Schizosaccharomyces pombe: one gene and its partners. Changing the gene in region 4 together with the main gene of any one other region gives a genetic interaction. Each region holds a gene or a part of one and is shown on either strand. Other genes may lie near its edges.

Region 1 (7,723 bases), on a different chromosome or scaffold from region 4:
AGTCCCGCTATGGCTGCCGCTGCCGCTATTAAAGGACATCTCTGTAATGTTCGTGAATTTTTTGGAGATGTTTCCAACGGATCTCCTTCTATTATTACTAACAAGAACTATGATCCCAGCCATGATGTAGAGGGTGATATAGGCCTTTCTGTTGACGATGCTACTGATGCAGTTACTGATGCTGATGGCATTGCCACTAATGTTGCTGGTTCTGTATCTTCTGGATCTGCCGGTATTCCCAAATTCACCGTCGTTGAAGGCATTGCTGCTCCTTTGCCTATGGCTAATGTCGACACTGACAAAATTATTCCCAAGCAATTTTTGAAGACCATTAAACGTACCGGTCTTGGTCAATTTGCTTTCTACGAAATCCGTTACGATGCGGACGGAAAGGAGATACCCGACTTTGTCCTCAATCGCGAACCTTACCGACATGCAACTGTTTTGGTTGCTCACGACAACTTCGGTTGTGGTAGCTCTCGTGAGCATGCTCCATGGGCATTAAACGATTTTGGCATTCGTGTAATTATTGCACCGTCTTTTGCTGACATTTTCTTCAATAACTGCTTCAAGAATGGTATGCTTCCTATTCCTACTCCAATTGAGCAAGTTAATGATATGATGAAAGCCGCTGAAAATCAAGTCAAATTCTCTGTCGATCTTGTTAATCAAACTATAACTTATGGTGATAAACAAGTCAAATTTGATGTTGAGCCTTTCCGTAAACATTGTTTGGTTAATGGTTTGGATGACATCGGACTGACTTTGCAAAAAGAAACTATGATTGACGCTTTTGAGGCTGCTAGAGAAGAAAACTTCCCTTGGATGAATATCAAGCGCAGCCGGGCTCGCCTTTCACCTGTTAAAAGCAATAAGCAATCTTCTAGCAGGAACGATTGGTGAGCAAAGTCAGTCTCCCTTGTTTATTTATGTTTAAAAAAAGTTTTTCTTCTTTCATTCTTTTTTTTAATTGATCAATTTTGTTTGTAATATGTTGTCATATACTGTTTATTTACAATAAGAGCCTGTCGGAAATATCATACTAATAGCTTCATATCCAAGTACAGTAAAGGTGTTATATAGTAGCTGTTATAGGGTTGTTTGAGCAAAGTTAACGAAAATGTTGAAAGTATCTAGCAGGTAGTGTTATAAATATATATATATATATATATACGACTGTAGACGACGCTAAAAATAATCAGATGAATCTGTCTTTCGACTTTGTGGAAGCTGATTTTTTGTTAGTATGTCGTAAGTTACTGTGTTAAAGAACAAAAACGTATAGTGTATGTCCGCTTAACTTTCGTAAAACTTCGAGGAAACGCAGTAGCAATGCGCTTGGTAAGATGTTAGTATGGTAGAACTGTATTTGTTTACTGTTTTTCTTTGATGTGAGCGAAACCTGCAAAGAGACTTGGTCAGAAATGGTCTTTTAACTTCAACCTCAGAGTCAGCTTAATTTAACGGCATGACTTTTTGGCTTAAAATCAGCAAGTTCAAGAGCTTACGTCATAGGAAAAACTAATGAACTATTATTTAAGGAAAGCGTTATTCTCACTTGTCCTTTCCCATACGTTTTTTTGTAGAAAACTTTCTTGAATTATCAAAATGACGATTTACTACATGATTGTTTTTATGCTCTTAATGGTAGAGATAGTATCATTTGTAATACTTTCTCTGCCATTACCACTTAAAGTTCGAAGAGCCATTTTGAATGCCATTAGCAACTCCCCCTTCGCCGGAAGAGTGAAACATGTTTTAAAGGTAAGGATCACATTATAAATATTGTAAAAATAATTGGGTGTAAATTTTCAGTGTATCACTTCATCCTGATAGTAGATAGCTAGTTGCAATGAATGCGAAAAACAGATTCCACATCCTTTCTCGTAGGAAGATGGAATTATTCACTTTACGATTCTATAGAAAAATAGCTTAAAATGTTTATTATGCTTTGCATGGCAAATATATGTTGACTTTGATACCTGATTGATTTTTTCCTTCTTCCCATATCTTATTTTCCCTTCTTTTCTTGTATGCTAATACTTTTAGATTACTATTATTTGCATCTTGATTCTGTTTGCTGACTCTGTTCGCCGTGTTGTTCGTGTGACCAAAGAATATGATCTTGCTATTGCCGCTCCTAGCACCACCGAAAGTGCTCGTTCGGGATATAAGGCTAGCCAATTCTACGCTCAAAGAAATTTGTATCTCTGCGGATCTGCGTTGTTCCTCTCTTTAGTTGTCAATCGTTATTACCTTGCCTTAGAGGCCATGATAGCTGCTCAAGATAAAATGCAAGCTTTACAAACTCAAGTAGAAGCTAGCACTAATAATGCTAAGGCCGTGGAAGAGCTTGAGACTCTTCGTACAAAGTTGGAGACCCGTGATAAGGAATACGAGACATTGGCTGAAAAATATGCTGCAGTTACCAAAACTGTCGAAAAGAAGAAGGATATCTAATTTCCCCCCTTTTCTCCATGGCAGATTTAAAATTATTTTTTAATTTGTACAAACCGTCAAATTCATGCTTTTACTGTGTCCTCATTTGTCGTTCATTCTTCGCCTTGGATTTACTACGTGAGCCCTTCACCCCTTTATTTCCTCATATTTACGTCCCGGGAAGTATACGCTAAAAATTATTTTATTTTCATAAAGTGATGGATTAGTTAACGATGCTGTTGTTTTATACGATTTAGGTTATAAATATAAATAAATGACTACCACCATACCGTTAGTTTGTCGTGTTTTGTTTCATCTGTATTTTGATAGGGTGTAAATAATATATGTTAAAAAGAAAGAGCAATGTAATTTTTCTTTCATTGCAATTTTGCAATGGATTTCTTGCATTTCTTTTCAAAGTAACGTAGGTAACAGTATAATCTTGACATTGGAATCAAAGATTCAGTAAAAACTGTACGCAATATACAAAAGTGAAATGCATTGAAATCTCTTCTGGCGGCTTAATTCATTCGAATTTTCTCATAATATAACATGGATTCCGATGATTCTTTTGTTAAAACTGCCCATGTAATTGAGACTTCGACGCCAGAAAATAAGAAGTTATCTCACAGATTCAAAAGCGTTGAAATTGTGCCTCCTTCTTCAAGTAATGATGATCCGTTTGGCTTCAGCTCAACAAAAGGGATTCGTTTATCTTCGATTAATTCCAATGATCTTGTTAATACACTTTCTAAGGGATTCAACGAAACCTCTAATATGTCATATAACAGAATTCTTCCCTCCTCGCCTCCTACATTAGAAATAGGTGAAATTGATTATAACGAAGCTCTCCAAATAAGATCTGCCGATGAAAATCAACAGTCTGTACCAACTGTCTCAATTGCATCTCCTTCAACTCCAGAGCTACCTCCTTCTTCCTCTCCGCTTCTGCCTCCTAATGGCTCAGAATCATCTTCACCTATTCCTCTTTCTCTTCTTTCTACTTCATCTTTACAGCAGAGAAAAATCACACCGTCCAATCTGAGCAACACATCAAAGCCAATGGATTCAAAGCAACTTGAACGACTTATACCTGTTCCACATGGGCATCATTTAACGCGTTTGAGAAAAAAACGGCGGCGAGATGATGACATTGATTTATCTGGGCTATATGAAACCAAATCTTCTTCACCACCTGCCATTCATTCTGATGAGGACCCTAGTTATTCAGACAGCATTGCAAGATCACCGGTGAAAAGTGCATTCAACTTGCGAAAGCGACGGAAAGGTGTAAAAGAAAAGAAAATTTTGAAAACATATCATTCGCAAGATAAGGATACAGCTTCTGATAATGACAACAACACTGGTTCATCAGATGAAGAAAATGATAATTTGAAAGAACTTACTCCCGGCAAAAAAGAGTATTTAAAAAGCATAAAGAAGTACTTCCAAGATGTCGACGATTATCAGCTACACGTAGTAAACGAAGGATAATTAAAAATTGATTGCATCTGCGTATACCTCATGGTGTAAGCTAGGTTATGCTTCATTAATCCTCGTTTCCCTCGTTTTTTGATGCTTACTATTAATTGCTGGGATAATTTACTATAATACTATGCTTAATAATGGGGTTCATTGACGCAAACAAAGACGAAACTATATAGAACCATGTCTATAAATACAAAAGCTAAGTCAATCATTTGAAATTTTCATTACATATCTTCAAGTAAAAATAAATTTAAAAAAAAGGAGAAAAAAATAAACAAAAGAATGGATGAAAGTGTCTTGCTAAAGATTAAGCTTAAACCTCAAAAATTTTGACGACTCCAAAAACGAATTAATACTATGGATATGTAAAGTCAACTTCTATATAACTAAAAAATACCGGGAATCAGATTTTTTTATTTTTTTTTTGAAAAGAAACAAAGTAACGGTAACAATGGTATCCCTAAATCCTCTAAGCTTTCTCTCTGCTGAGAGTAACTTCAATAATTTGTTTAAGAATGTCAATATTGGGTTTTCCTGAGAAAATGCAGGTGCGCTCCTCATCCAAGAGGCCATCAAACTCTATCGGTAATACTTGTGTGTTAAAGTTATAATCACTATAAGAAGAAAGAGCAAGGTTTACTGCTTTGTCAAACTTAGCAGGATGAGCTGTGGAAAGGCAAATATAGGTAATATCCTGGTCCTTAGTCTTCTCTAAGCAACGAAGACCAGTTTCGACGCCAACAGCAGTGTGTGGGTCGATGATATAATGATCACTTTCATAGATTTTTTTAATAGCATCAATGGTTTCATCATTACTAACACGTTCACTCACGAAATCACGTCTAGCGGCTTCCAAAACCTCGGGACGGACAGTAACTGTTCCATCACGTTTGAATTCATTCATCCAGCGAGACAAAATTTCCGAGGCCTCAGCAGGAGTATGATTAGGAGCCTCAGTGGCTAATGCAAGATACCATAAGTAACGCTCGAAGTTAGAAGAAACCAAAATGTCCATTGCAGGAGAGTAAGTTTCTTTGGCGGAAATAGGTCCACTGGGCGAAACTTGAGTAGAATCAGCTTTTTCATAACGACCAGTCTTGAAGAAACGATTCAAAATATCATTCTCGTTAGTAGCAATAACAAGTTGTTTAGTAGGTAAGCCCATACGCTTGGCGTAGTAACCAGCGAGAATATCACCAAAATTACCGGTGGGAACGATGAAACGAACATCGTCAGCCTTTCCTTGCTTGTAAACGGAAAGATAAGAATATAAGTAATAGGTAATTTGAGAGAGAATACGAGCCCAGTTAATAGAATTAACGGCACCAATATGATGCTTCTTATTAAACTCAACATCGCCAAAAATTTGTTTAACAAGATCTTGACAATCGTCAAAGACGCCGTTCACAGTGATACAGTGAACGTTAGGATCTGTGACTGTAGTCATCTGAGCTTCTTGGATAGGGGAAACACGTCCATTGGGAAATAAGATAAAAACTGAAACGTCCTTCTTGCCACGTAAGCCATAGATAGCTGCACTACCAGTGTCACCACTAGTGGCACCAACCACGGTCAGATGATCACGTTCGTCTTCAGGTTTGTTTCCGTTCTTACGAGTAAGGAAAAATTCAAAGAGGTTACCAAGAAATTGCAAAGCAACATCTTTGAACGCAAAAGTAGGACCATGGAAGAGCTCAAGTACATTGAGACCGTTCTTTAATGATTTTAGAGGAGTAGTCTCTGGGTGGCGGAAGGTAGAGTAAGAGCGATCAACCAATTTTTTCAATTCATCAGCTGAAATTTCAGAGCGAGGAATGTACAAAGACATTACCTCAAAGGCAATTTCAGGGAAGGATTTGTCCTTCCAAGCCTCAATCCATCCGCTAGGTAGCTGAGGGATTTCTGATGGAATAAACAATCCTCCATCATTAGCCAAACCCTTAAGCTATACAGTAATGGCAATTAGTAAACCGAGTTATAAGTAAGACGCATTTGTGACATACCACAGCCTCTTCAAAAGAAAAATTTGAAGATCCACCACGAGTCGATAAATAACTAACTTGGCTAGACATTTCGCTATTTCCCAAAACAGAACGTTGCTTGTTCTTGGTAAATAAAATCCGCCATTTTTCAGAGAACCTTGCAATCTTTCGTGTTATCAACAGTTTACAAAATTGAGTGTACCAACGTAAATATTTTAAAGATAGTATCGTTAATTTTCACTATAGTAGCTCTTTGAGTTGGTTTTTTTCGAATTTATTATTTTCTGAACCCGTGGCTATTGCTCACTACACTACTCCATTTTACGGTATGCTTCGCTACATTTTTTGTTCTTAAGTTTTATATTTGTCACCCAAAACGGAAATGTATTCGTAATTTTTAATATATCCTAAAATGAAAATATTATAAATTGAATCAAATTTCCTGCGTTTCATATTTCAATTATCAGCTATCAGCTGGTAATTGTACATTAAGTCCAACCTGACTATCGATATATATATAATTGCATATCGTTAAATTGTCATGAAAAGAAAATAGTAAAATCCCAAGTTGAGACTTACCGCAAAGTAACACATCGTTATCTTGGTTAGCAATTGCGTAGTTAACAAAAACGTAAACAAACAAGAGTATGAGTATGCCAAATTACTCTACATTGCTGAAATCGTTTTAATCTTGGCAATAATCTGGTACATCGACTTTCATATAGTAATACGTTGTTTAAAAAGATTAAGATGCTGAAGTGGTAATCTTGGAAAGGCTTCTGTTGTGGTCTCGTTGCAAGATAAAAATAAAATAAAATCTACAATGTAACAAGGTAAGTAGTCATCTTACGTTTAAATGAAGATGAAGATAAGGCAATTAAAATATGTAAAAGATAGGCGTTAAAAGACGTTTCGATTGATGACAACCTAATCAAATCGGTATAACATGATGAAAAATGTAAACTTGGTTCAGTGGCCCAAACATTTAAAACAATAGGCAGCAGCCGTAAAAAATAAATGAGGTAGATCAACAGGACGAATTAGATGGTGCTTGATTGCTCGTTGCAAATTGATAAAAGGATTCGCGAGAAACATTGGAAAATGGCCCCAAGAAAAAGCAAAGGCATTACTTTTTGAAATGTTAAGGAAATTGCAATGAAAAAAGAGACGTTGAAAAAAAAAACATGGGAATTGATTATATTCCAAAATGTAAACTCGATCTAATCACAACAACTCGAAAGCATATCAAAAGTTGATTGAAGCTATTAGGCATAAATTTTACGTTATGAAAGCATTAAAAAGTAAGAGAAAGTGTACAATATAGAGAAATATTATAAACTTCCCAACCGGGTAGAGTTGAAAAGAGTAAGGAAACAAAGTAGCAATCCGGAAACGATAACCAACACAAGATATAAAAAGCAATGCCAATCTCCACTCCTTCAAGCTCTCCACACACTTCACGACTATATACGTATCGGCGGTGCTAATATCAAAAACTAGCGAAAAAGAAAATGTGACAAGATAATAATAAGGAGCCTAACAACACCTCTTCACCGTACGATCGTTTCCGAGGTCAACGTTATTTGCCTGGTTGGAAAATTCGTTTTCTGCATCAATCTTTTGTTTTTTTATTTCCCGGGCAAGGGTAAAAAATGCCTCATCTACATTGACGTTCGTCTTCGCACTAGCTTCTAAAAATTTAACGCCCAGCTCATCGGCTAACGCTTGTCCCTGTTCAAAGGAGACCTGACGCTGATCCTCACAATCACATTTATTTCCAATAAGGATTTTATAAACATTTTCACTAGCATGTT
Region 2 (8,422 bases), 2.3 Mb from region 4:
TGGCTCTTTTAATATTTCCGTTCATACAAAGAAGCAGCTTTCGTATCTAGTAGCATTACGGATATGTAATAATTATCGCTTATTAATGACGCTGGTTATATAAAGCGTATTAAAATTTTGCTCAGTCGTTTTACTCTTGAGAGCTTCATCACTTCTTTTAGAGAAGTTATTTTGAGATCATAGTATAATTTACTACATCAATTAGGTAATCAAGAAATATAGTTTGAAATGATAGAAGACTGCTCTTATAACCTTGTTTTAGGAAACGATCATCTATGCACTTTTTTCTATGTTTTGCTATCAAATATCACTATTACAGACACTATCTTTTTATTTTCGCGAAAGCTATAATGAAATATATTACAATACAGCTCACACTTCATCTAGATTGAGCAAACATACTGTAAAGAGGAAACACCAGTTCTAAAGTTACAACTGACTTTAGTTTAAGGCATAGGATAGGCATTTTATTCACAGATTTGCAATTGATTTAATAAGAGGAAAGTAAAATAGGACTATGGAACAAGGCTATCGTCTTAAAAAAACCTAAGAAGGGAAATCATGTAAAAGATAAACTATTTTGACACGAGAGGAGGGAAGCAATGCATGCTAATGTTTTGAAACATGGAATGAAAAAATGACTTATAAAAACAATATTTTAGGGGCTCTTTTAGTAGTTTCATGCAGGGATACGTTCTACACGGATATCTCGATATTCGTGTACAGACGGGTGCTTGGATAATAATGCAACTGCGTCCGAATCCCAGCCACTTCTCCAAAGATGAGCGCCAACAGGTTCAAGATCATAGATTGAGCAAAACTCAGAGAGGTCAAATCGTTCGCGGACAAGTGCATTAGAAGGAATACTAATACTAGATGACTTTTGCCGCAAAACAAGGGTTAAGATACGGTGTTTATCTTCTCCACGGTGAACAATAGGAGGCCGATATTGAAAGAAAGCTTTAGAAGTATCAATGGGCACACGTTTGGATGCTTCAATGGGGATATTCGTTAAAAGCCAGTTGCAATGAGTCTCAAACCGGTTTGTTTCGTAATTCGGGACATCCAAATCTAGTGTTATAACTGAATAATGATTCTTTTTACAATTAAAGGGTAAAACTGATAGCCACGGGGTCTTTACAGTAACCGTACTTGGCAAGATAGTGCCAGGAGTGATAGAATCATTATTTTCGGGGTTAAATCCTAACTGTACGTCGACAGATGGCGAAAATGAGCCAATCCCAGAGTCCTTTATTACTTTCATCTGCTCCAATCTTTGTAAAAGAAGCAATTTTTGATAATCTTCCCACTGTTGCTTAAGCATGTAAAGGAACACCGGATTCGTGTAGTCGATCTCCTTTTTATGAAATTTAGAGCGTACTTCCGGTAAATTAATTTGTGATAAAACCTGTAACCGTTCTATTTCTGGGGAAGTTTCACTTGGGTTTTCTAATAATTTAGCCTGAAGCTTTTTGTGAACTTTCTCCGAGTATTCCTGTATTAACTTTACAGAAGAGCGATATGCATTTTCCTGAGCAGCACTGTAAATACTGCGAGCCCTACAGACATTCGAAATCGTAGGAATTCTAGGCCATACGCGTTTCATCCTTGCAATGGTAAAAGCTAAGTAATTAACGGTATGGATGTGTATAGGAATAGAATAACACAAGAGGGTATAGCGCAGTGTAAGGAATGCTAATGCACAGCTTTTTCGATATTTACGGTTATACAAAATAAAATTAGAAATGGAAACTGTGGATGTTAAACATGTTAATTGGAAAAGGTCAATCATACCGAGTCCCTTCAAGGTTATGACCAAAGTTTTAGTGGTAGGTTTAAGCAACAATTCTACTCCCGTAAGCTGCTTCTAATGGGAACTAGACTGTAGCAATAGCGTTCATGTTTAACCAAAAGCTACAAGTTATATGAAACGGTCATTTGCAAAAGTCAGTAAGTTTCAATGACTATAATGAAAATATATTGACTCGACGACACATAGTGAATCATGAGTCAGAGTCCGTATGAAGTAATATGTTCCTAATTTGACGGCTGCATTGAAAATTCAGCAATCGGAAGGAATGAATAAGAGAAAAATATTCAAAAGAAGTGAAATAGCTACGTGGGTTAATCAATAGTGTCTACGTCCAATTATTATCTGAGGTATACACATGCAACAATCACGGCATTTACATCTCAGTAAATTAAAATAAAGAAAAATAATATCATTAAATTAAGTCAAAAGGTTTAAAGGTGATATCCTATGAATTCGGGAAATTGCCAACTATATCTTAGATAGTCACATTTCTACCAAATTGACGTAGAGCTTAATTAAATATTCCAGATGTTGCTAAAGTATTCTCATATTGTCAACTGCGAAGTTCAACATCTTTCGATTTGCAGAACTGATTCAATCCAGTGGCTAACTCATGGTCGTATGTACGATCCGTTCTGTCTATTTTGATTTAATGTGACCAAAAGTTAAACTTCATCTCGTGTATAGTTAAAAGATATGATAGTATACATACTAAAAATGAGAATTCTGGCAAACCAGATTTAAATCAATAACATGTTACTCTTGCTTGCGACAATATAAGTAAATGTGGGCAAGAAAGATGAAGAAGTATTAGAAACAAGTTGCGGCTAAATTTTGAGAAAGGATTGATAGCGGAAAGGCTACTAATAGTAATGATATGAGCTATTATTATCAGTAACGATAAAGCCGTTTATGGTGGCGCGCGTAAGAGAACGACAAAATTTGAAGCCTAGGTAGTTTCATCAAAACCATTAAAGGAAATAAATATGAAAAAAGCTAGCAAGAGAGGCGATATTATATTTTCGCATTCACAACTTTACTATTGACGACTACGAATACCGAGGGATAGCGTTATTATCTCTCCACAAGTAATCGGCTATTTTTTGATTGGTTTAAATAAAAGTAAATCCTGATTATATTTGACATAATCTGCATCAAATAGAACTCTAGATTTTCCTTTCCGAATATGGTGGCCAATTAACGGTACGACTGTGATGTAAATATTACACAGTGGAGCGACACGTGAATGTAGTCCCCTTCGGTTAGCTCCTTAAAATGGAGGCCTTAAAGGATAATACTGCTTGACTTTTTTAGCATAGTGCCTTTGTTAATTGCAACAAATCCCTTCAAACAAAAAAAAAATAAATTTTTATAAAGAAAAACTTTTTATTTCTATACGGCAAGTTCATCTCATAAAGTAAACAAATCATTTCCCGATTGGCTACCCTAGCCCTTCGTTTGTTTGTTTTGCAGTGACGTCAAAATTCATCTCACCCGATCAACATATATAAACATTGCGACACAAACCAAAAAGTTACCGACTGCAGCATCATATTTCTCAGCAGAAACGTATTCTTATAGTAATCCAAGTCCAAAATTAAGGAATTGGTATCTTAAACCACCTTAGTACATAGTTCTCTATTGTTTATAAGCCTCTTTACTTGCCAGGGACGCAGTAAGACATTGCTTCCTTCACCACCTTCATTATCCTTTACCTTCTTTCTCTGTCCACCTTATATATATATACTTATTTTCCCAGGAATCCTCACTTTTGCCATTAATCCATTCCATCCTTCTGTAGAACGACGAATTGTCATCCCTTCCTTTATCGTTCGTTCATTTCCTAAAACCGGGACACTACTGCATGCTTAAAACAGAGGAAAAATAAAGAGAGAACACATTTATATAATTGAAAGAAACTTTTCCATTGATAGCTCCTAAGTTTCAAATCACCAACTTGTCGGTTTATACATTCTTCATTTTCTTTTATTTACTTTTTTGAAGAAGTTCACAGGGATCACTATTCAGAAATTTTATACAAAGATATTGCATCCTTATTCATCAATCCAAATTTGCGTCACTTGATCGACCACAATTTGCTTCATCTTCCCTTCCCAATTTGTTTCGCCAGCACCTGAATAACATAGCCTCTTTTTAAGATTTAACCTTCTTCAAGAAATCACTACATATTCGCACTACTAACAAAAAAGAAACTTTCGCTTTTTATTTAGTCCGTTCTTGTATCAACTATCTTCATCGGCTTTACCGTCGAAACCATTTCAACCGCACTCAATAGAAAATTAACTTGCTCATCATCAATCTTCCATCATGGATTTCGCAAATGTGTATCTCGGGTTAGATACACTAGGTAATGAAGGATATGGTGCTAGCGTCAGTAATGGCACTCACCATGATTTTCATTTTAACTTCAATACATTCCGCGATGGTGGTAACCATGAAGTTGGAGAAAAACGCGCTGAATCTAGCGATATCGGAGTATATGAATGTAGAGGTCCAGTCCAGGGACCTAAAGATCAAACATCCTTTCCCTCGAATTCACATAATAACTACGCTTCAATAGTAGGTGATGCTAGCATTGGACATTACCTCAAAGGACCCGAGCGTACTTCAGAGGTATCATTACCTCAAACGGTAAACCTTTCGGAGATTTCTAACAATAATGACAAAGGCCAGCCTACAAATACTCCTCCTGTACGCTCAACAATTGTTGCACCTTCATTATACTCTGAAGGTAGTACTTTGAATCATTATAATAATGGATCTCATCAAGTGCTTCATCCACAATTCCAAAATGGAACCAACGCCCCATACGTAGTGCAGTCAAATCTTATGCAAAACAATGTTAATCTAACAGGAGCGGAACAAGAAAAAGGTTTGGACCTATATAAGAATTCCGCTACTGCGAATAACGATGAGATTTTCTATAATCTTGAATCCTTACGTAGAGAAGGATACTTAAACTCCAACAAGAAGCAGTCTCAATCTCCAAATGGAGACTACAACAGCAGCGATGAGTCCTGTTCCAATAAAACCGTCGCCTCCAGTCAACGACGGGGTACACCTGGCAGTAACAATGTTCATACCGCTAGTAACAATGAAACTCCTGATATGAAGAGGAGGCGGTTTTTAGAGAGAAATCGAATAGCCGCATCGAAATGCCGCCAAAAGAAAAAGCTTTGGACACAGAATCTCGAAAAAACAGCACATATCGCATGTGAGCAGTCGAAAGCTCTAAGGATTTTAGTCAGCCAACTACGTGAAGAAGTAATTTGTTTGAAGAATCAACTATTAGCTCATCAAGATTGCAATTGCGAAGGAATTCGACAATATCTTTCTTCAGAGGCTCAAGGAATTATGTCCTTTCAGAAACATTGAGCAAATGACACCCCATTGAATCAAGTTTCGTAACATTTTTTTATTATACTGTATATGCATTTCTGAGAGCCTGGATAGAATCTTGCAATAGGAGATGCTTAAAAGACGGCCAGTGCTGCTCTACTGCTTGTCTATAGTAATTGTACTTTAACTCTGGCATATTTTATTTTTCTTTTTTCACAATACTATTATTTTCTTCGCGTCACTGTGTTCATGGGATTTGCAATCTCACTCCAAACTCGTTTCATTCAATTGCTTGGGTTTTTCATTCATGTTTCTTCATTAAAAGTGTTTATGTTTCGAAGATCCTTTACGCACGTTTCATTTCCAGATTAATAATTACTGTAATGATATATCTTCCCTATATGTATTTTTTTAATAGGTTACGATTGCTTTACGAACTTGACCTAGATGAGCCAAATCTGTAATCACTGCCATATAATCTGTACCTCGTTCACAGACATGTCATTTTATCTTCAGTACGACACCACAGTTACATATATTGTTTGCTTTGGAATAAAAAAAAAATTAAGTAATAGAATAACACTTTCTGAAGTAAATGGTAGAAAAGATAACAGTATTCGTAGAGCAGCTATAATTATATGCATTTTTGCGTTTTGCAGCAAAAGATCACTATACTGCATAAGGAATTTTTATACAAACCATGTGTCTTTATTTAGTACATTAAGACTATATCCCGTTTCTACTCCTTCAGAAAGTGCTTAAGCCCTCTCTTAGCAAAGAAACGAGTGTATTATTAAAAGGAATGGCACCCTCAGAGAAAGACATTGAAGAGGTATCAGTCCCTGGAGTTTTAGCACCGCGCGACGATGTGAGGGTTTTAAAGACACGAATTGCCAAATTATTAGGAACAAGTCCTGATACATTTCCTGGATCACAGCCAGTTTCTTTTTCAAAGAAACATTTACAAGCATTAAAAGAAAAGAACTATTTCGTATGTGAAAAAAGTGATGGAATTCGTTGTTTACTTTATATGACCGAGCATCCTCGGTACGAAAATCGACCCAGTGTATATTTATTTGATCGTAAAATGAATTTTTATCATGTTGAGAAAATTTTTTATCCAGTTGAAAATGACAAATCTGGAAAAAAATATCATGTTGATACACTTTTGGACGGTGAGTTGGTTTTAGATATCTATCCAGGTGGTAAGAAGCAACTGAGATATTTAGTCTTTGATTGTTTGGCATGTGATGGAATTGTTTATATGAGTCGATTGCTTGACAAACGCTTGGGAATTTTTGCTAAAAGCATTCAAAAGCCCTTAGATGAATATACAAAGACTCATATGCGCGAAACTGCCATATTTCCTTTTCTCACATCGTTAAAAAAAATGGAGCTGGGTCATGGTATCCTAAAGTTATTTAATGAAGTGATCCCCCGACTTCGTCATGGTAATGATGGACTTATCTTTACATGTACGGAAACTCCTTATGTATCTGGCACTGACCAGTCGCTTTTGAAGTGGAAACCAAAAGAAATGAATACAATAGACTTTATGCTAAAGCTGGAATTTGCACAGCCTGAAGAAGGGGACATTGATTATTCAGCCATGCCAGAATTTCAACTTGGTGTATGGGAGGGTAGGAACATGTACTCTTTTTTTGCCTTCATGTATGTTGATGAAAAAGAATGGGAAAAATTGAAAAGCTTTAATGTTCCTTTATCGGAAAGAATAGTAGAGTGCTATCTGGATGATGAAAATCGTTGGAGATTTTTACGTTTTCGTGATGATAAACGAGATGCAAACCATATCAGTACAGTTAAAAGTGTATTGCAGAGCATAGAAGATGGCGTTTCTAAAGAAGACCTTCTCAAAGAGATGCCTATTATCCGTGAAGCTTATTACAACAGAAAGAAACCCTCAGTAACGAAACGGAAATTAGATGAAACCTCTAATGATGATGCTCCTGCAATCAAAAAAGTAGCTAAGGAAAGTGAAAAAGAAATTTAAGATCTTTTAACAAAAACAAAAGGAATATTTAATTGATTCCTATACCAAAAGAACGCAAAAATGTTGAAAGCTGGTCAGCCATTAATATCCGACCTTCAAGGCCAATATAATTGGACTTCTAAAGTGTTTATGCACGGACCCTTAGAATTAAGAAAAAAAAAGCTATGAAGGTTTAATTTGACTACTTATCGTTTTTACTTTTAAAGCATGGACTACTGACTTAGATTTTTCAACTTGCTACATCGCTATTGCTATCGCAAATTTCAGTAACGAATATAATCTCTCTCTTTTTTTGAATCGCCATATTGATCATCAATTTATTTATTTTGAATTCGCCTTATTTCACAACCAGTTTACTATTTAAATGAAGCTCGGAACTCCCAGCATGGAAGAGTAAAATCTATGCACTTTAATTTAATAATGTTTATGCCTTACAAATTCTTTACATTCATACTAAGAATAGTATTTTATCGCAGTATCTCGTAATAGAATGTTACTAGGTTTTAAGACACTAACGATGAACTTCTCTATATTACACAAAAGCAGTCACGAGTACTTTTCGAAACAAGGCCTGACTGATTTGTACACCAATCTGTTACATACTCTTTCAACAAACTAACAATGGGACGTGTGATCAGAGCTCAAAGAAAGAGTGGTGGAATTTTCCAAGCTCATACCCGTCTTCGTAAGGGTGCTGCTCAGCTCCGTACTTTGGACTTTGCTGAGCGTCATGGATACATTCGTGGTGTCGTCCAAAAGATCATTCATGACCCTGGCCGTGGTGCTCCGTTGGCCAAGGTTGCTTTCCGTAATCCTTATCACTACAGAACTGATGTTGAAACCTTTGTTGCAACTGAGGGTATGTACACTGGCCAATTCGTTTACTGCGGTAAAAACGCTGCTTTGACCGTTGGTAATGTCTTGCCTGTTGGTGAGATGCCCGAGGGTACCATTATTTCCAACGTTGAGGAGAAGGCCGGTGACCGTGGTGCATTGGGTCGTTCTTCTGGTAACTATGTTATCATTGTCGGACATGATGTTGACACTGGCAAGACCCGTGTCAAGTTGCCCTCTGGTGCTAAGAAGGTTGTCCCTTCTTCTGCTCGTGGTGTTGTCGGTATTGTTGCTGGTGGTGGTCGTATTGACAAGCCTTTGCTCAAGGCTGGACGTGCATTCCACAAGTACCGCGTCAAGCGTAACTGCTGGCCTCGTACTCGTGGTGTCGCTATGAACCCCGT
Region 3 (8,753 bases), on a different chromosome or scaffold from region 4:
GTGCCTGCTGGGTAACTCTTGTCGCTAAAGTACCAACGGATGCATCACGAGTATCACGTAACAAGTGTTCAACACCAATTTCCTCTGCTTCCTCTGCCTCTATACTGGAGGGTAGATGAACAAAAGTTCTGCTGGACTTAGAGCCGTCGTCTTCAATTTCATCAATGGCAAAGTAGGCATTAGTCGGAAGACCCACTGATTTGGGCTTTACATCGATAATGACAAGAACGGGATTGGGTATGTATTTTTTAAGTAAGTTGTTGATTTCCAAATCAGAGGGTCGGAGTTGTGGTCCAGTATGATACCAGCCAACTAATTTTTCATTTGCATTGATTTTTTTAAACATTTCATTCATTGATTCCATAAAATTATGGTCCAAAAACCAAACCGATGCATTCTTTTCATCTTCCTCAAATGGTATAGCATAACTATTGGCCACGTTTACAACGTCGCCATTATTTTGACCCAATAGAATACCAACGACCCGTCTTTTGGTTCCCTTGGCAGATCGATTATAAGAATCTACTGCTGACAGAAGTACTAATGGATGCACAATCTAACCAATGGTTAATAAAAAAGTTTCTCAAATTTTCTACTTACAACTTGCTGTGGGACGATTGTAGAGGTTTCAGAGCTCACTGCAGGAGGCATTATAACCGGTTTATATTAAAAATTTGTCTCTCACAACTTCAACTGTGTATGGCAAACGAAAGGTTGAAAGCGTGTAACCTCTCATCACATGCTGCAGCGGTTTCCTACTTACCGCAAGTTAAGACATAGTTCATTACAGAAATATTACGATACTTTCAAATGCCCAACTACCTATTAAGCGCTGTAATATAACAATGCTTTAAACAATGATCATTCCATTAGGCTACTAAATGGCAATTATATTACACTCCCTCTCATATGTAGAAAGGATTGAAGAGCTATACATTTAAATCATGTTAAACGTGTAATTGCACGTAATTTACTCAAATAAATTCTGAAAAGACATGGACATTAAATATTGAAGACATATCTTGAAACCATCTGCTCTTTTTTTAAAGAAATACTTTGCATATCAAATTACATGCTGGTATTTCGATTTGAAGCATAGTATATCACTTTTAACTACTTAATCAAACCGAAATACACGTGAGACGCATTCCAAAAGTTCATTAAATATCTGTTCGATGACTATATTTACGATGAAACAAGTAAAAGAAACTTTCAGTAAGAACGTTCTTAAAAGTTTTCGTCTGAAGCAATTGAAACAGTTAGAATTCAGATATTTTGTATGTCCACACGTTTCATCAAAGCCATATGCATGAGATTTTTTGCAAACTTACATTAATAGGATTTGTGTTTTTGGAATTATTTCAAACGTTTAAAAATATTAACAGAAAAACATAGATCACTATTTGAGAACAACGATATTTCATCTTATCTCTAAAACGAAGGCTATCAGTTCTTATCAAAAAATGAAAAAAATTTCAATAAAAGTTCACTACACTAAAATCCTTTAACTTTTCTTTTTCAACACAACGAAACTTTTTGGTTATTAATTAAATTTTTAAATAGATAGAGAAAGATGGCTCCTGTTCAGTTGAAAAACAAAGAGTCGCAAACCGCTCGAATTGTGGGATCAGCATCTGCCGGAATTCTCGAACTTTCACTCTTTCATCCTGTTGATACAATTTCCAAGCGTTTGATGTCAAATCATGGAAAAATTACTTCTTTAACTCAACTTAACACTGTAATTTTCAGAGATGCTGCCTCTGCTCCTCTACTCCAAAAGGCTACCTCTCTTTTTCCTGGTTTGGGCTATGCTGCTTGCTACAAAATTGTACAACGTATTTATAAATATAGCGGTCAACCAATTGTATGTTGTAGAGTACTTATACTGGTAGTTTAAAGCGTACGTTTTTTCCAAGCCTTGATGGCGGAATTAATGTATCGCAGTTGGCTTCAGTATACTCGTTCATCTTTACTAACATGTTCAGGTAAAAGACTTTTTGAATGAAAATTATAGACATACTTTTGATAAAACTTTTGGAAAGGGATCTGGAAAAGCCATTATGCATGCTACTGCTGGAAGGTATGTATCTGTCGAATATTTGTTTAACTAAGCTGAAAGCTTATGTTTAAGATTGTTGAAAAGGGAATTCAAGATGTGTATAGCTTACTAACTTTTCAGTATCGTTGGAATTGGAGAGATCTTCCTCCTTCCCTTAGACGTCCTGAAAATTAAGCGCCAAACCAATCCTGCAGCTTTTAAAGGTCGCGGTGTTTTCAGAATTCTCGCTGATGAGAAATTTGCGTTGTATCGTGGATGGGGATGGACTGCCGCCCGCAATGCCCCAGGTTCTTTTGCACTCTTTGGTGGTAACGCTTTTGCTAAGGAGTACATATTTAAACTAAAGGATTACTCTCAAGCCACTTTTTTTCAAAATTTTTTCACCTCAATCGCTGGTGCTTCTGCTAGTTTGATTGTCTCTGCCCCTCTCGATGTTATTAAAACTCGTATTCAAAATAAGAATTTTGATAACCCTCAATCCGGGTTTACTATTTTGAAAAATATGCTTAAATTCGAAGGACCTACCTCGTTCTTTAAAGGGTTGACTCCCAAATTGTTGACAACTGGTCCTAAGCTTGTTTTTTCATTTACCATGGCTCAAACCCTTATCCCCTTCTTTGATAAGCTTTTGAAATAATATGCTTTATTTCTTCATTTCAATGTTGAAATATTGTTGAGTGTGCTCTGTTTTTCTATATAAATAATTCATTGGGGTTGTAATCTTTTGAAAGACTTTACTTTTTGGTTCTTTTTGTTTTTGTCATTCAAAAGTGAAGAAAGTTTTTTTTTGAGACTGTTATTGATCTTTTACTTTGTAAAAATACTAACAAATATTTTGTTTTTCTTTTAATTTTTTTAGATATACTTGTCCTTAATCTACTTATTTTCTCAAATATTACTTCGATTGGTGTTTGTTTTGTTTATTTTGTTTGTTTCTGTTATTGTTTATTTTTCTGAGTGAACTTACCTTGGTAAACACTATTTGTTTTGGTTGGATATTTATAGCCTGGTGTCAGCAACTCTTCATCCACCAATATCCAATTTCCGAAAGAACAGAAAAAACCATATCCATTAAATATTAGTTTTTATTTATAGAGTTTATTATGCAGTCAATTGATTTAAGGCTACCTTCGACTTCTGCAAATCATTCAATCTCTGAATCGCTGGAGCATTCCAAGTCAGAATTAAATGAACTTTCAAATGTTAGTGAAAGCGAATCTTATTTCGATATTACAAAGAAACTCCATGCATTAAGCACTGTTGTTCAACGTCAACAACGAGAGATCGACAATCAGAAAAGAGATTTGTGTACCAAAACGAAACATATTGAAGAATTACAAACGCTCTTGTCTAATGCAAATATCATGTCTGATGGGGCTTCTTCTCAAAATGATGCATTTGCTCATAACCCATCTACCTCTGTTTCTGTAGAATTAGTTCGACCTGTTGTTGGGACTAAAAAGCATGCAGTATACGCAACTTCAGCTCCTAAGAGCATGTCATTGCAGGATTCTTTGTCTGTTCCTTCGGCAACTGCTTTGGCTGATGTTTCAAGTTCGTTGAATTATTCTCGAAAATTAAGTTCGAACAGTATTAAATCCACGAATGCTCCTGTATTTGGAACAGCAGTCAAAAACGTAACAGGTGAAAATATATTGTCTGCATCTTCTTCTGAGGAAAATTTGAACTCTAATAGAAACGGAGATCCAAAATTTCGTTTTTCAGTTTCACCATGGATATCTTCTTCGAATTTTAACCCTTATGAGGCTTCGTTAGCTAATTTCCAATCGGACAATTGCAAGCTAAAATCCCATAACTCATTACCATCGATCCGTACCAATGTTCGATATAGCAATTCTAAACCGTCAACACCATTATCTCCAGAGGATGTCGATCTTGGAACTTATACAGTTAAGAACCGTGATAGTTGGTCGAATGAAGTGAATCTCTCGGCATCCACAAATAACTTGAGTACGAATACGTCTGGCACGTTAAAGCCATACTCACTCAGCTCTTCTCGGAGTTCTTCGTACTCGAAAGGAGTAAATAGTGCCGCCAGTTTACAGTCCATATGGGAAACTATGAATAACTCGAACCCATCTGTCATCCCCGAGTCTACTTCTTCAAGAGAACCAGCTGCCCGATACAGAAAAATCTCTGAAAGGAATGCTGTATATGATTGGAATGTTATAATTGATAAAATTATTGTAAGCAATGATCAGCAATCTTCGATATTCCTTCAACAGAAGCTGAAAATTTCTTCTTATGATATGAAACAAAACATTGTTGATTCCATAATATCTCAAATCCATCCTCTGATGCTTAACCGCTTTGGGAATTTCTTAGTTCAAAGATGTTTTGAGCATGGCACTGCCCCACAAATTCGACAAATGGGATCTGCCATGTTGGGAAATATGTTAAAATTGGCAACAGATCCTTTCGGATGCCACGTTGTTCAAAAGGCAATAGATAATGTGACAGAAGATATTAAACTGGCTATGATGGACGAGTTATTCCTCACTATTGATGTTACAATAATGCACCACTATGCATGCCATGTCTGGCAAAAATTGTTTGAAACGCAATGGTACGAGTATCCAGTTAATGTCATGAATCGCGTAAACAATGCCTTGAGAGGAAAATGGCACGAAGTTGCAGTCGGGGAAAATGGAAGTCTCGTAGTCCAAAATATGTTTGAGAACTGTGTAGAGAAAGATAAGCGTGAATGCATTGAGGAAATCATTTTTCATTTAGACGGTATTGCACGTGGTCAATGGGGAAACTGGGTGGTGCAACACATGGTAGAAAACGGACAAGGAGAGGATTTGAAAAGAGTCATTGATGCATTATTGAATCGTGCAGTGGAATTTAGTATTGACCAATTTGCCTCTAAGGTCATTGAAAAAGCAATTAAGTCTGGCCCAAAAAATTTCATTTCCTTATATCTAAAACAAATTACAAACGCGAGAGTTGACCGAACAAGGCAGCCTTTAATCGATATTGCATCTGATCAGTATGGCAACTATTTAATTCAGCAAATAATTCAACTTGGTCAACCAGCTGAGAAAAACCTTGTCATTACGCATATAAAAAAGCACATGGTTTCTCTTCGGGGAAGCAAGTACGGTCAGAAGGTTGCTTATTTAGTCGAGAAATGGAATTCTCAAAAACAGGTTTCCTCTGTAATCAACTACAACTGCAATACTGACCTCTGATCTGTAAATATAGGGATATATTCATTTCCACATTTTAATTAGTTTTTATTTTATATATGATACAGCTCTAACACTTACTGAAGCATCAATAGATCAAATTTTCACTATCTTCCGGATAAGGTAGTTAAGCAACGATCTCTTTAAATAAGTAAATTGAAATATATATCTCTTTACATATTTGTGAATAAGTAGCATAATAGTATTTTAAAATAATTATTATAAATAAATGCGTTCATTAATATACCAAAAGAAACTTTAATTTCCGGAGCATTGGCATCCATAACACTCATGAAGTTGTTCATGCGCAAAAACATCGCAATCCAAACAAAAATGATTTTTACACGAGGGACATGCATACCGCATCGATGAAGTAGATTCGTCAAACGGTGAAACCGGCGGCTTCGGAAAAGGTAACTGACACGCAAAGCAATGAGTGGACTTTGGATTTGCGGACCAAGGAATTTCGCTCCAGTTTTTCAATGGAAACAAATGATGATAAGATCGAGCAAGATGTGTTGAAAGGATTAGAACGAGAGAACAACTAGGGCATTCGATCGGTAAAGTACAAACTTTTGCTTTACAACGAGGACAATGAAACCCACCACGAGACGGAATTGAATGGCAAGCACAAAGACTTGGCAATTGCTCAACGACCTTAGAAGGAAATCCCATCATTACCAAAGAAGCATCAGTGGTTTTAGCCGAATCAGTAGCAGGAGGTATTGTGCTTTCGAGTAGAAGTTCGCGAAAATGTTGTTCACTGATGACTACGCCGTAGGCATTTTTCGTAGATGAGTTAGTTTTATTACAAATTTCTTTACAAATGGCGACTTCAGCAGCCAAACCAACGATACGGACACGAATAGAATCATGAACCAGAGCATCAATCGTCTTGAAAATGTCGCCAGGGTCTGATGATAAGATGGAACCAAAAATGATAAGGACTTCTCTAGTGCCATGGGAAGCAATGTGTGATAAAGAAGCTCTAGCCATTTCGAGAGCATTTTGAAGAGAGAAGTTTCCACTACAATCTCGAAGAGATTTAAGCTTCTGAATATGCGATTGAGGATTCCCATGCAAATCAGTTATCCGATGAGCGATTCCATCCATTACGCCTATAATCGATAATTGGGAAATAGGATTTTGTTCAAAAAACTCAAGAACAAATTCAGAAGCATACTTTATCTGAAGGTCGAACCGCTTATGATGAAAATCACGCTCCTCCATAGAGTTGCTCAAATCTAACACCAAGACCATGTGTCTAATAATACCTCGTTGTAACGGAGTTGTATCTCTAAGAAGTCTAAATCAGATTGACAAGTTAGTATACCGTTCATCGATGCTATAAAAGACTAATATGTTTCCAAATGCCCAACATAGGCAACTAACAAACAAATGAAGAACATAAGAAAACCAATTTTGATACGCCATACCTTTTACGTTTCCCGCTTTGAATAAGCCCAGCGATAACGCCTACTAAACTACCCTCTGCGTCCTCCTGTACGATATCCCAAGAACGCTGATATTCACCTTCCCAAGTATAACCCTCATTATCGTCAGTTTTCCTGCTTCTTACTTTAACTCTTCCATTTTTTTGTTCATCCTCGCTTTCCGACTTGTCAGAGTCAAAACTTTTTTGGTTCTCATTCATTGAGTGTTATTTTAACCGAGCATAGGTATTATGCCAGAACGCTATTTGATAATTAGATAAATGAATATTGCACAAATTCTATTCCTTGGTTTCTACAGACTAAAGAACTCAAAGCGAATGTATTTCTTCAAGTCACGTTTTACCCAGTGAACTTTTGGTAATTTGAATAGTCGCGTCGAGTTGCTTTACATGCAATGAGCGAAAGTTCTTTCTTTTATTATTTTTAGTTTTATTTTTTTAAAAAGCAATGACTCCTGGGCATACCAGTAAAATGGTAAGACTAAGTAAGTACTAGAACAAGAGACCATTTACACGAAGACAATACGGACAAGGAGCGCAACCATTATTTGTTAAATATAATAATGAATTTCGTTATGCTGCGTTAATTCGTGTTTATCAGTCTTTGATTTGTGATATGAAATTTGTATACAACTATTTCTGTTATTTGAAAAAACTTAGGAAATTATGAAAGTAAAAGAAGAATATAAAATAAATCTGTACTCCTCATTCTTTAAGGATGAGTTATATATCGTATTTTATAAAATTATTTATGGCTCGGTTATTTGTACAAACTGCATATTGCAATATAGTAGAGACTTAGAAATTTGCAAACTGCGTAATTGCCAATATTTTATGTAAAGCTACAAGTGATATGGACATAAGAAGAATAATTACTTTTCGCTTAGGCTGAATGTTGGATGGTTTGCAGGACGAAAGAGTTCATTTAATTGATTTTCTCGAACAGAAATTGGCTACTGACTAGGAATTGCGAAATCGCATTGTTTAAGAAGTTCTCGTTCTACTCCAAGGTCGATTTTTTCGTTTTTATTTGTCTTAGAAACAAATTTCAACTTATATTTGCTGTATATACTGGTTTTTAAAACTCCAAAACTTGAGAATGATGAATGGAATCCTTATTTCGTATATATCCAACAAAAAAAAAGGTTAAATCACTACTTTGCATCTTTTGAGTAATGTCTTAATTGAACAATTTTTTAAGTCGCAAATCTTACAAAGTCACAATTAAGGATTGTATATCAATTTGGTAAAACAATAAAGAGGATGATTAATCTATAATTGACAACAGATTCATTAGTTAAATGAATTTTCCTAGCACCACAAATACACATCGTGTTTGCTCTATAACAGAGACAAAAATAGTGATGACTGTCATCGAAAATGATTAAGTGATGATGCATATAAGATAATAATACAAGGAATAGAAATAAAGGAGAAAAGTGACTTTTGCAAGAAAGTAAGAAAATTAGTGATGAAATAAAAAAAACCCTCGCAACTGTTGGCAGCCCCTTGATTTTTTTCTCTAGCCATGACTTTTAGTTGCTGCCCGATTCTACATCTTTAGAAGTGTTGCAATCGGTTTCCTCAGCCATTGTATTGTCACTTGCTGGCTCTGTGGTAATTGCTTGGCCTCGCATAGACGACATTTCAACGTCGCCAGTCTCTTCATCTTGTTCTATTACTTCGAGCCCGAGAATAAACAACAGTAAGGATAAAATAATATGAGCCAAACCTTGAATTGCTTTAGCTACATATTTAGCTAGGCCTGCAATCGCTTTAGCTAGACCTTCATTCGCTTTAGCTACAGACGGTGCATAAACATAAGCTTCTTCAAACGCTAATTTAATTAACGAAAATGAAACTAGAAAATCGTTAGTCATGAATTCAAATCATCTCAAAAACTTACAATAAACAATAATCACTGTCATCACGTATGTAAATATTAACACTATAGTTTCAATAACATATTTAACCACAGAATTAAGATCCGCCAATGCCTGATCGAAATAATTATAAAAATTATGATAAA
Region 4 (8,220 bases):
AAGAGGAAATATCGAAGAAAATATATTCCAGAAAATATTTCCTCTCGCGTAATTTTTCTGCTATATTTATCAGCAATTTGATTATAAATTGAAATACTATTGCTGTTCGGAATTAATAAGTCTGACTTCTGTCGCGATTCATAATTGAGAACATCTTTCCTCAACCTCCAAGCTACCGCACCAATGTAGACACCTAGACCGTATATACCTCCTATAAAGATAGTTTTCTTTAATATGCCCATGTTTTTTAATATTTTTAAGTATTTTAATCGCTGAATGAATGAAATGAGAAAAACAAGATTTTAGCGGTTTGATATTAGAATATTTGAAATCGCTAAATTGACCCACACGCGCACTGCGAAAGGTACTAAACGGAAACCAATACAAAACTAAATCTCGAATACTGATTCAACGAACAAATAAAAAAACAATTAAGCTTAAAAAAATTGTTACCAAAGTAATTGATATCCCATTAATATAATATGGTAAAAAATCTTATAGTTAAAGGTAAACATTTAATGGCTTACTTCATCAGTTGATCAACTACCCAGTCGACTGATAATGTACGAAGATCACTGTAAGTTTGTCCAATGCCTACGAATATGATAGGTACCCTTACCGCGTATACCATGCCAACCATAACACCAACTAGCTGACCCACAGTATCAACTTTAGAAATAATAAAACCATCCAATGGGCGATGATAAAGGGAAGCTTGGAAATGTTTTGCTTGTGCTAAGGAATCTGTTCCTACTAATGCTTCTGCCACTTGAAAAATTTTATCCAGCTTAGTAGCTTTAGTAAACTGTTATGTTAGTTCAAAGTTCAAACAATTCTATCTTAGTAGAAGACTCAATACTTAATCAATTTTGTAAGTAATTACCTTTTCCAATGATCCCATAAGCCTTTGATCGTTATGTCTCCGGCCAGCAGTATCAATTAATATAACATCAAAACTATTTTGCTTGGCATACTCAACAGCGTTCTTAACAACAAAGCTCGAGTCTTTACCATATCCCTGTGCAAATAATTCAATGGAGCTACCCTTCAAACTTTGGAGATTTTTCACATGTACTCCGAGTTGTTCAATTGCACCCGAGCGAAAAGTATCGCAGGCAGCAACTAAGATTCGAAAGTTGTTAGATAAAAGCCAATACGCTATTTTAGCCAATGTTGTAGATTTTCCAACACCATTGACGCCAATGAGAGAAATGGTATACGGACGGTTTTCGTTTTTGCGTACAGAACGAATACTATGCAAAAGGTCCAAAGATGTACTTGGGGTGAGTATTTGAGTAAGCCTATCCCGAAAGGCCTTGTTTACTGTGTTTTTCACAGTATCAAACGAACCAACTTTTTTGTTTATCAACGAAGCCTTCACAGATTCACAAAGCTCCAGAGCTATAGAATTTGCGACATTCTTTTTTGTTAAATGTTCTTGCATTTGCTTTAAAATTGGACTAAGATCCTCCTCCTTCAAGTATTTCCCACCTATTAAGTTGGAGAAAAGGGAAAACGCAGAAGATGCAGATTTATTGGAAATTGTTTGATTGGGATCCATTTCCAAATCACTTATAATAACATCACCACTACCAGTCTTTTGAAACTTATTATTATTACCCACAATAGAAGAAAGTTGGGAATTATCGACTGTTTGGGAAGCAGAAGATGCTTGACTAGAATAGTTCAATGCAGCCTGTTCTTCCTCAGTTATTTGATCATCCCATTTTCTGAGTTGCTTCTTTCCTTTTTTAGGGGCATTTGTTTGCTTGGATTGAGCGCCTTTTTTCTTCATTTCATATTCATTTTTCTTTCTTGCTGAGTTATCATTATTAGCCTCAACAGGTAAAGATTTCGTGTCTGTTTCATTCTCCAGTTGTGCTGATTTACGATTAAAAATGGGAGCGAACAGTTTTTCAACTTCTGCTTCATTAGGAACTTGACGATCTTCTAATTTTTCTTTAAATAGATTCAGAAATATATTATGAGCACTATTAAGCAGTGATTGAGAATATGCCATACATTTCAAATCTTGAAACACAACCTAAAAATTCAACCGCGTTAATTAAGTTCAAATGACACGATAAAGGTATGGCTTTGACTTTGACAAATAATAGAAAATCAAAGATAAAGTATAAACAAAAAAATTTTTGGACCTCATTTTGGGTGTATAGTAATTGACAATTTCTGTCAAAGCACAAATCACAATATATTAAACTTACCACAAAAACTATGCTATATTGTGTAGCCTCTTGATACTGCATGGTGTACCGATCAAATGTTACGGTGTTGTTCACCGTTCTTTGCTCACTTAAGAAAGCTTCGTGAAATAAAACTTGAAGGCATTTCAAATTAACAAGAGAATTTGTTTTTTTCCAAAGTACTATGCCTCCTTTATTAACTATCGCAAACAAGTCAATCATTCCAGGCTCAATCACAAATGGCTTTAAAAGTAGTAAACTACTCACCAACTAAGAAGGAGTGTTCTTGATTAAACACATTGCTCACTGCCGTACAATACATAATAACGCACTATACCAAATCTATGGTGCTAATTGAGTTAAGCTATTTGCTTAAACATATTTTTCTTAACGTATTTTAAAGATTACCTTAAAACTTGTTGTATGCAATATTATACAAGGATAGATGCAATTTGAGACTAAAGGTTGATATTAACAGTAGGCTTTCGTTTCAACCAAAATTGTTTATACTTTTATATTAATAAAAAATGCCACTAAATAAAAAAGCTATTTTTTTACTGCTATTTGAAGGTGCGTTTTAAGTAAGGGAGAAATGAGCATGAATTCTGTAATCCAAATAAAGAGGTAAAGGGAGCACACACTATTCCATGTCTGGGCAACGAAAAATTCCTGAAAAGCTTCACAACTCTCATTGTACGAATGTGATTATTCTCAAGACTATTTTCACTGTAATTTTAAACTTTCCTTCCTACTTATAATCTGGCCGATTTTTGCCATTTTATTTTTTTTGTTCATTGTAATACGCTTAGTCGCAAACAAGTGAGTTATCATAATAACTCTGATGAAGCGAAAAGCCGTATTAGAAGCATTCAGCGATTCTGAGGATGAAGATGAAAAAAAATTAAAAGGTCCTCAACTTATTACTGGATTTAGCGCTGAAGAGGGAGTTCATTATCAGAATGAAACTATTCAGCGCATACACGAAAAGAAAAGAGCGCCAAAGATAATCCACATTGCAAGTGATGAGAACTGGATGGAAAAAAGAAAAGCCAGGTTTAAAAAAAAAGAAACAGAAGTTCATGAGAAACCTTCACAATTGCCAGATAGCGGCTTAAATTATGGTCTAAATATTCGGGTGGCTTCTTCATCAGCAGCGGATAATGAAATTGTGGACTGGAAGGCAAATAATTCAAATGAAAAGGCTCAAAATAAGATAGCCACAAATAAAGAAAGTACTGATATTCTTCCTGAAGAAGTCCAACTTGTCCTTAATGATTTAAATGACGATGTTAAAAGTGCTAATTCTGCCAACTTACAGCCGATTACCACTAATGTTGTTAACGAGAAAGATGCATATAGAAAAGACATTGACGAGCTTCCGGAGCCTTCTAATATGAAAGATTACTCGGAAATTCCGGTTGAAGAATTTGGCGCCGCCATGCTTCGAGGAATGGGTTGGAATGGTCAATTATCTTCTAAAGATGCTTTTGATGTTAATCAAAGGCCGACGTTTTTGGGTATGGGAGCCAAGCCTGTGGATTCCGAACTTACTGAGCTGGATATTTGGAAAAATCCAAAAAAGACTATGTTTCTTCCTGTTAAGCCTCTAGAATCAAATTCCGCTCTGAATTCACAAAACGAACATACTGAAGTACAGAAGAAGTCAAATTCCATTGACAACTTAACTCCCAGTTCAGAACTATTCAGAAAAAGAAGCCGAGATAACAACCTCTCAAGAGAGTCTTCAGTGAGCAGTAAACATTTAGATTATAATTCACGAAATTACAACAAACGCGATAGAGATCCAGACAGAACTAAGTATCGCGAATACCATTCGGAGCGCCGGAAACAACATCGAACAGACCGTTATTCAGATGATTACTATCAAGGAAGGAGTTATTCATATAAAAAACGTTCTCATAGAAGCGATAGATATACTGAGAGAGAAAATCCAGATAGAAGTTACAGAAGTACTCGTACACTTTAATGAATTTACGATTATCTTACTTTTTAAGTACCACAGTTACTAGAGTATCCTTTCCAAATAACCAAAAAATTGTTTATCAGTCATAAACGAAATAAAACATCTCATTATATTGCTCCGTAGTCCACATGAATAATAAAAATAGTAATCGAAGCTTTCAACCTTTATTCAAGAGCTTCGTGAAATGCTTTCCATTCATCGACGGTGAAAATTTCAGGAAACTCTGACTTAAATTGTACGAGCGACTTTAATAACTCGTTAGTATTTGCGACAGACACTTTATTTTTCTGGAATAAATAAAGTGTATGAAGAGATTTGGTAACACAATCCTCATCGACAGAATGTTCAAGACTGAATTGATAAACTTTTTCTGGAATCTGAAATTCGTGTGCCTTTTGAAGAATAATTTGTTTTGATTTATCTTCTTGAATAAGTAATGCATAGAAAAAAAAGATAACTCGTTTTGTCATAACCGAGTGTTTAAGCTCCAAGATTTCAATCAGCATTTCCCAAGAGTTTGGGATTTTATCTAATAAAGCAATTCCAGCTTCGTTAAGTTTAAGCTCACTAGTTATTGCATAAAGGACTTTATTTTTTGTTTCATCCGAATCCTCTTTTTTTAGGGCGCCGAAGAGAATCTTCAATCCATCATTTTCTATAAGCGCTTGTTGAGATTTAGGATTATTTTGAACGGCAGTTGCGATCGTCCAAGCAGCTAATCTGCGCAAGGTAGATTCCGGACTCTCAAGCTGTTTCAATAGGCGAGGCCACAATTGCAGGGGAACCAAATTATTTGCATTGTCAATATGCTCTACGAGCATTTCTAAGTTGTCAAAAGCTATCTCTTTCTGATCTAAAGGTACCGATGGATCCTCAATTGCGTCCATCGCTTTCCTCATTTCATCAGCTGGGTTTGCTCCAAAAATATGATCTAAAACTGAGGGATCAAGGTCTTTAGGATCAGGAGGAGAATTGGAAGAGTTTCCTTGAGCTTGCAACTGCGTACTGAAGGCCAAAAGTTTCTCCATTGTGTCAAGAATAAACAATAATAATACCTAAAAATTTGAACTTTTGAATAAAAATTTCGGTTTGGGTAGAAAATGCTTATTCAAATAAAAATTCAAAAAGAAAAAGTAGCAAAAGTTAGTAAAAATGGTAAGATACAAAAAAGTCTTAAAGCTTTAATGGGAACTTGCACTTATAAATGCGAAGTAGATTACTGCCTAGAGTATTCTAGCAAAATCCTAAATAAATATATTAGGGTTCGTTAAGCAACTTTTACGAAGGTATAAACTTCACATAATTAATCTTAACACAACTGTGCAGATCCTTAAGTTGCTTAGTAACGTGTTTGCAAGCTAAACTGAATGGATCATGTGTAGGAAAGCTGCGGATGAAATTTTAAGAAATATAAATGTACTACGCTGGAATATACGTATTAGTTGAGAAGTGGATCTTTGGAATAAAGAATAAAAGCTTTCTTCTCACTCTTAAAATATTTATAACACTATTTTAAGATTGAAGTACATGCTACTATTTTGAAGCATTTCAGTAAAGCTACTTTTAATTCTTTTCAGGCGATATTAATTATTGGTAGAAAAAAACAAACAGTGAGCAGTATGTATAATGTACTATTTCTTAGAACTGAAAATCAACAATTCATTTTTAAGCATCTGACTTTCAACCATTATTGTAAAAGAAGTAACACAACGCATTGTAGTCAATTAGTATAATCTAAGTTATTGGATCAATTATCATAACAGCTATAAAAAAAAATAACTACTAATGGGCTTTTGATAAAAATTTATCCATTCATTTCATTTATTATAAGAAAACATCAATTGATCAACATGATGCTTAAAATTGCAAAATCCAAAAAAAGTAAAACCATCGCTTTTAAATACTCAAAACCATAATTTTTTTTCTTTAATGTAAAAAAAGAACAAATTTAAGTAACCTTCATAAATCCAATGCATTTGTTGTAAGATACTGGTAAATAAGGGTAAGTTTTCTGACGAGTTTTATTATTTGTTTACATTTTGTATAACGCACACTAACGAAACAAATTAATTAACGTCGCGACGCGTCCCGTGTACCATACTGACCAAACCAAATAATTTTGCCAAGGGAAGAACCTTGAGAGGAGTGTCTCAACCTTTAGCAAACTCCATGTGAGTGGATTCTCACTTGAAAATTAAATGTCTGCTTTTACATAAGTTAAGCGTTACAGTGATAAAAACACTTTAATAGTATTGTTGTTACTAAGAACAATATATCTTTTTATGTGAAGTGAGTTTTCTTTTTATGATAATTTTATCTAAGACACTACTTCTTCCTTTCTTAACTTCATTTGTAATTGAATTATTTAAGCACAATTTTGTTCATAAATTCCTTTTACAGCTGAGAAGATGAAACCGAACACAACTAACCTAAGGAATGAGTGCTGGGATACTTTCTCTATTCCTAAACGCTCTCAGAATATAAAAATAAATCAGTCTACAAAACATCAAAGGTCTATATCTGATTTCGTTGGCACAGCTGGTCCTGGTCGACAAGTTGGAAACTGGATTATCAAGAAAACAATTGGTGCTGGCAGTATGGGAAAGGTTAAACTCGTTGTAAATATTTTAACAGGAGAGAAAGCAGCTCTCAAAATGATTCCCTTTACTCCTAATAATACAAGTCAGACAGTTCGTGTTCAAAGGGAGGCACTTTTAGGTCGTTTATTGAGACATCCCAACATATGCCGGGTAATAGACTGTATCCGGACGCCTGCATGTACTTACATACTGTTCGAATACGTTCCTGGAGGACAACTTTTGGAGTACATCCTTGCTCGTGGCAAACTCGATGAAGATTTGGCTAGGAGTTTTGCTATGCAGTTGATTAATGCATTGGTTTATCTTCACAAGAATTTTATTGTACACAGAGACTTAAAAATTGAGAATGTTCTTTTAACTCAGGATTCTCGTCAGGTGAAGCTAATTGACTTTGGCCTCAGTAATTTTTATAGTAAAGACGATTTATTACGTACATACTGTGGGAGTCTTTATTTTGCGGCCCCAGAATTACTTGATGCAAAGCCGTACATAGGCCCAGAGGTTGATGTTTGGAGCCTGGGAGTAGTGATTTATGTTATGGTTTGTGGACGAGTCCCATTTGACGACGTTTCCGTTCCTATGCTCCATTCAAAAATAAAGTCGGGTAAACTGGAGTTTCCTTCTTACATTTCAGAAGATTGTTGTTCTCTTATTGCAGCTATGCTGAATGTAAACCCACGGAAGCGCTGTTCTTTAGAACAAGCAGCAAAATTTCCCTGGTTAAAAAAAAATTCGTTTTGTTTGTATCTGCCTATTCCCTTAACCTCTATTCCCTCAACGCCTTCAATCCGATCTCATGTTTTCAAACCGCCTTTTAATTTAAAGGTTTTACAGCTGTTACATGAGCATGGTTTAGCAAGTATTCCCGAACTAAAACATGAACTTTACATGGCTTACATTGAGAGAAAAACAACTTCATTAGTCTGTCTGTATTTATTGGGTGTCGAAAGTCTCGCTCCAGCACTTCGAATTCCAACGGCTTTACCTCCTGTATATAGTAGACACCAACGGCATCATTCAGAAATTCTGGGTGCGATGGATTTGACAGAGAAAATTACTGCTATGCAGTGTCCACCTTAATTCCTCCTGGAGTAATTTTTGTTAGCATTTATTATGTGTTTTCGAAGAAGTTCCATTTTAATTAAAACCTGTGGCTCTTTTTCGTTACTTTAATTAAAGAGTTTCATTGTTTCTAAACTTAACTTTTTTCTTTTTTTTTTGTTAGTGGGTAAAGACGAGTTAAGGCTTTTTCTTTTTGTTTTCATTCTTAAATAATACAGTTTTGCAATCCAACATATACAAAGATTCTTACGACTTGCGTTATAATTTTAAAATATAATTGATCGATTTTTGATAGCATTACTTCTTTAAATCCGTCGCTTTTCATGAAATATTTGAATGCCGAATGCTATAAACATTTATAGATAGATACCTT

What was found.
Region 1: mutations in cwf28 (region 4) and SPOM_SPAC9E9.04 together harm fitness more than expected from each alone (negative genetic interaction), as found in Schizosaccharomyces pombe (one large-scale study listed by BioGRID).
Region 2: mutations in cwf28 (region 4) and atf21 together harm fitness more than expected from each alone (negative genetic interaction), as found in Schizosaccharomyces pombe (one large-scale study listed by BioGRID).
Region 3: mutations in cwf28 (region 4) and mpf2 together harm fitness more than expected from each alone (negative genetic interaction), as found in Schizosaccharomyces pombe (one large-scale study listed by BioGRID).

What each region holds. Positions count from the first base shown.
Region 1 is NC_003424.3:4,441,470-4,449,192, forward strand, and holds SPOM_SPAC9E9.04 (bcap family protein), read left to right. Parts: upstream 1-1,560; 5' UTR 1,561-1,608; coding exon 1,609-1,764; intron 1,765-2,049; coding exon 2,050-2,460; 3' UTR 2,461-2,727; downstream 2,728-7,723. Other genes in the region: 3-isopropylmalate dehydratase Leu2, read left to right, coding at 1-903; sor1 (sororin), read left to right, coding at 2,992-3,933; SPOM_SPAC9E9.06C (threonine synthase), read right to left, coding at 4,397-5,872, 5,931-5,999; GTPase Ypt2, read right to left, coding at 7,446-7,723.
Region 2 is NC_003423.3:1,718,872-1,727,293, forward strand, and holds atf21 (Atf-CREB family transcription factor Atf21), read left to right. Parts: upstream 1-4,141; coding exon 4,142-5,209; 3' UTR 5,210-5,579; downstream 5,580-8,422. Other genes in the region: transcriptional activator MBF subunit Rep2, read left to right, coding at 1-12; mrpl35 (mitochondrial ribosomal protein subunit L35), read right to left, coding at 680-1,606; mRNA guanylyltransferase Ceg1, read left to right, coding at 5,976-7,184; rpl802 (60S ribosomal protein uL2), read left to right, coding at 7,806-8,422.
Region 3 is NC_003421.2:382,645-391,397, reverse strand, and holds mpf2 (meiotic pumilio family RNA-binding protein Mpf2), read left to right. Parts: upstream 1-3,162; coding exon 3,163-5,274; 3' UTR 5,275-5,378; downstream 5,379-8,753. Other genes in the region: proteasome regulatory subunit Rpn8, read right to left, coding at 1-556, 601-651; ggc1 (guanine nucleotide transporter), read left to right, coding at 1,574-1,864, 1,986-2,080, 2,180-2,696; transcription factor TFIIH complex subunit Ssl1, read right to left, coding at 5,530-6,577, 6,708-6,925; SPOM_SPCC1682.06 (uncharacterized protein), read right to left, coding at 8,260-8,585, 8,631-8,753.
Region 4 is NC_003423.3:3,987,660-3,995,879, reverse strand, and holds cwf28 (splicing factor Cwf28), read left to right. Parts: upstream 1-2,894; 5' UTR 2,895-3,042; coding exon 3,043-4,188; 3' UTR 4,189-4,268; downstream 4,269-8,220. Other genes in the region: oms1 (methyltransferase), read right to left, coding at 1-242; signal recognition particle receptor alpha subunit Srp101, read right to left, coding at 524-805, 884-2,044, 2,223-2,423; fes1 (Hsp70 nucleotide exchange factor), read right to left, coding at 4,350-5,213; serine/threonine protein kinase Ppk25, read left to right, coding at 6,594-7,865. UniProt on the Schizosaccharomyces pombe protein: Involved in spliceosome maturation and the first step of pre-mRNA splicing.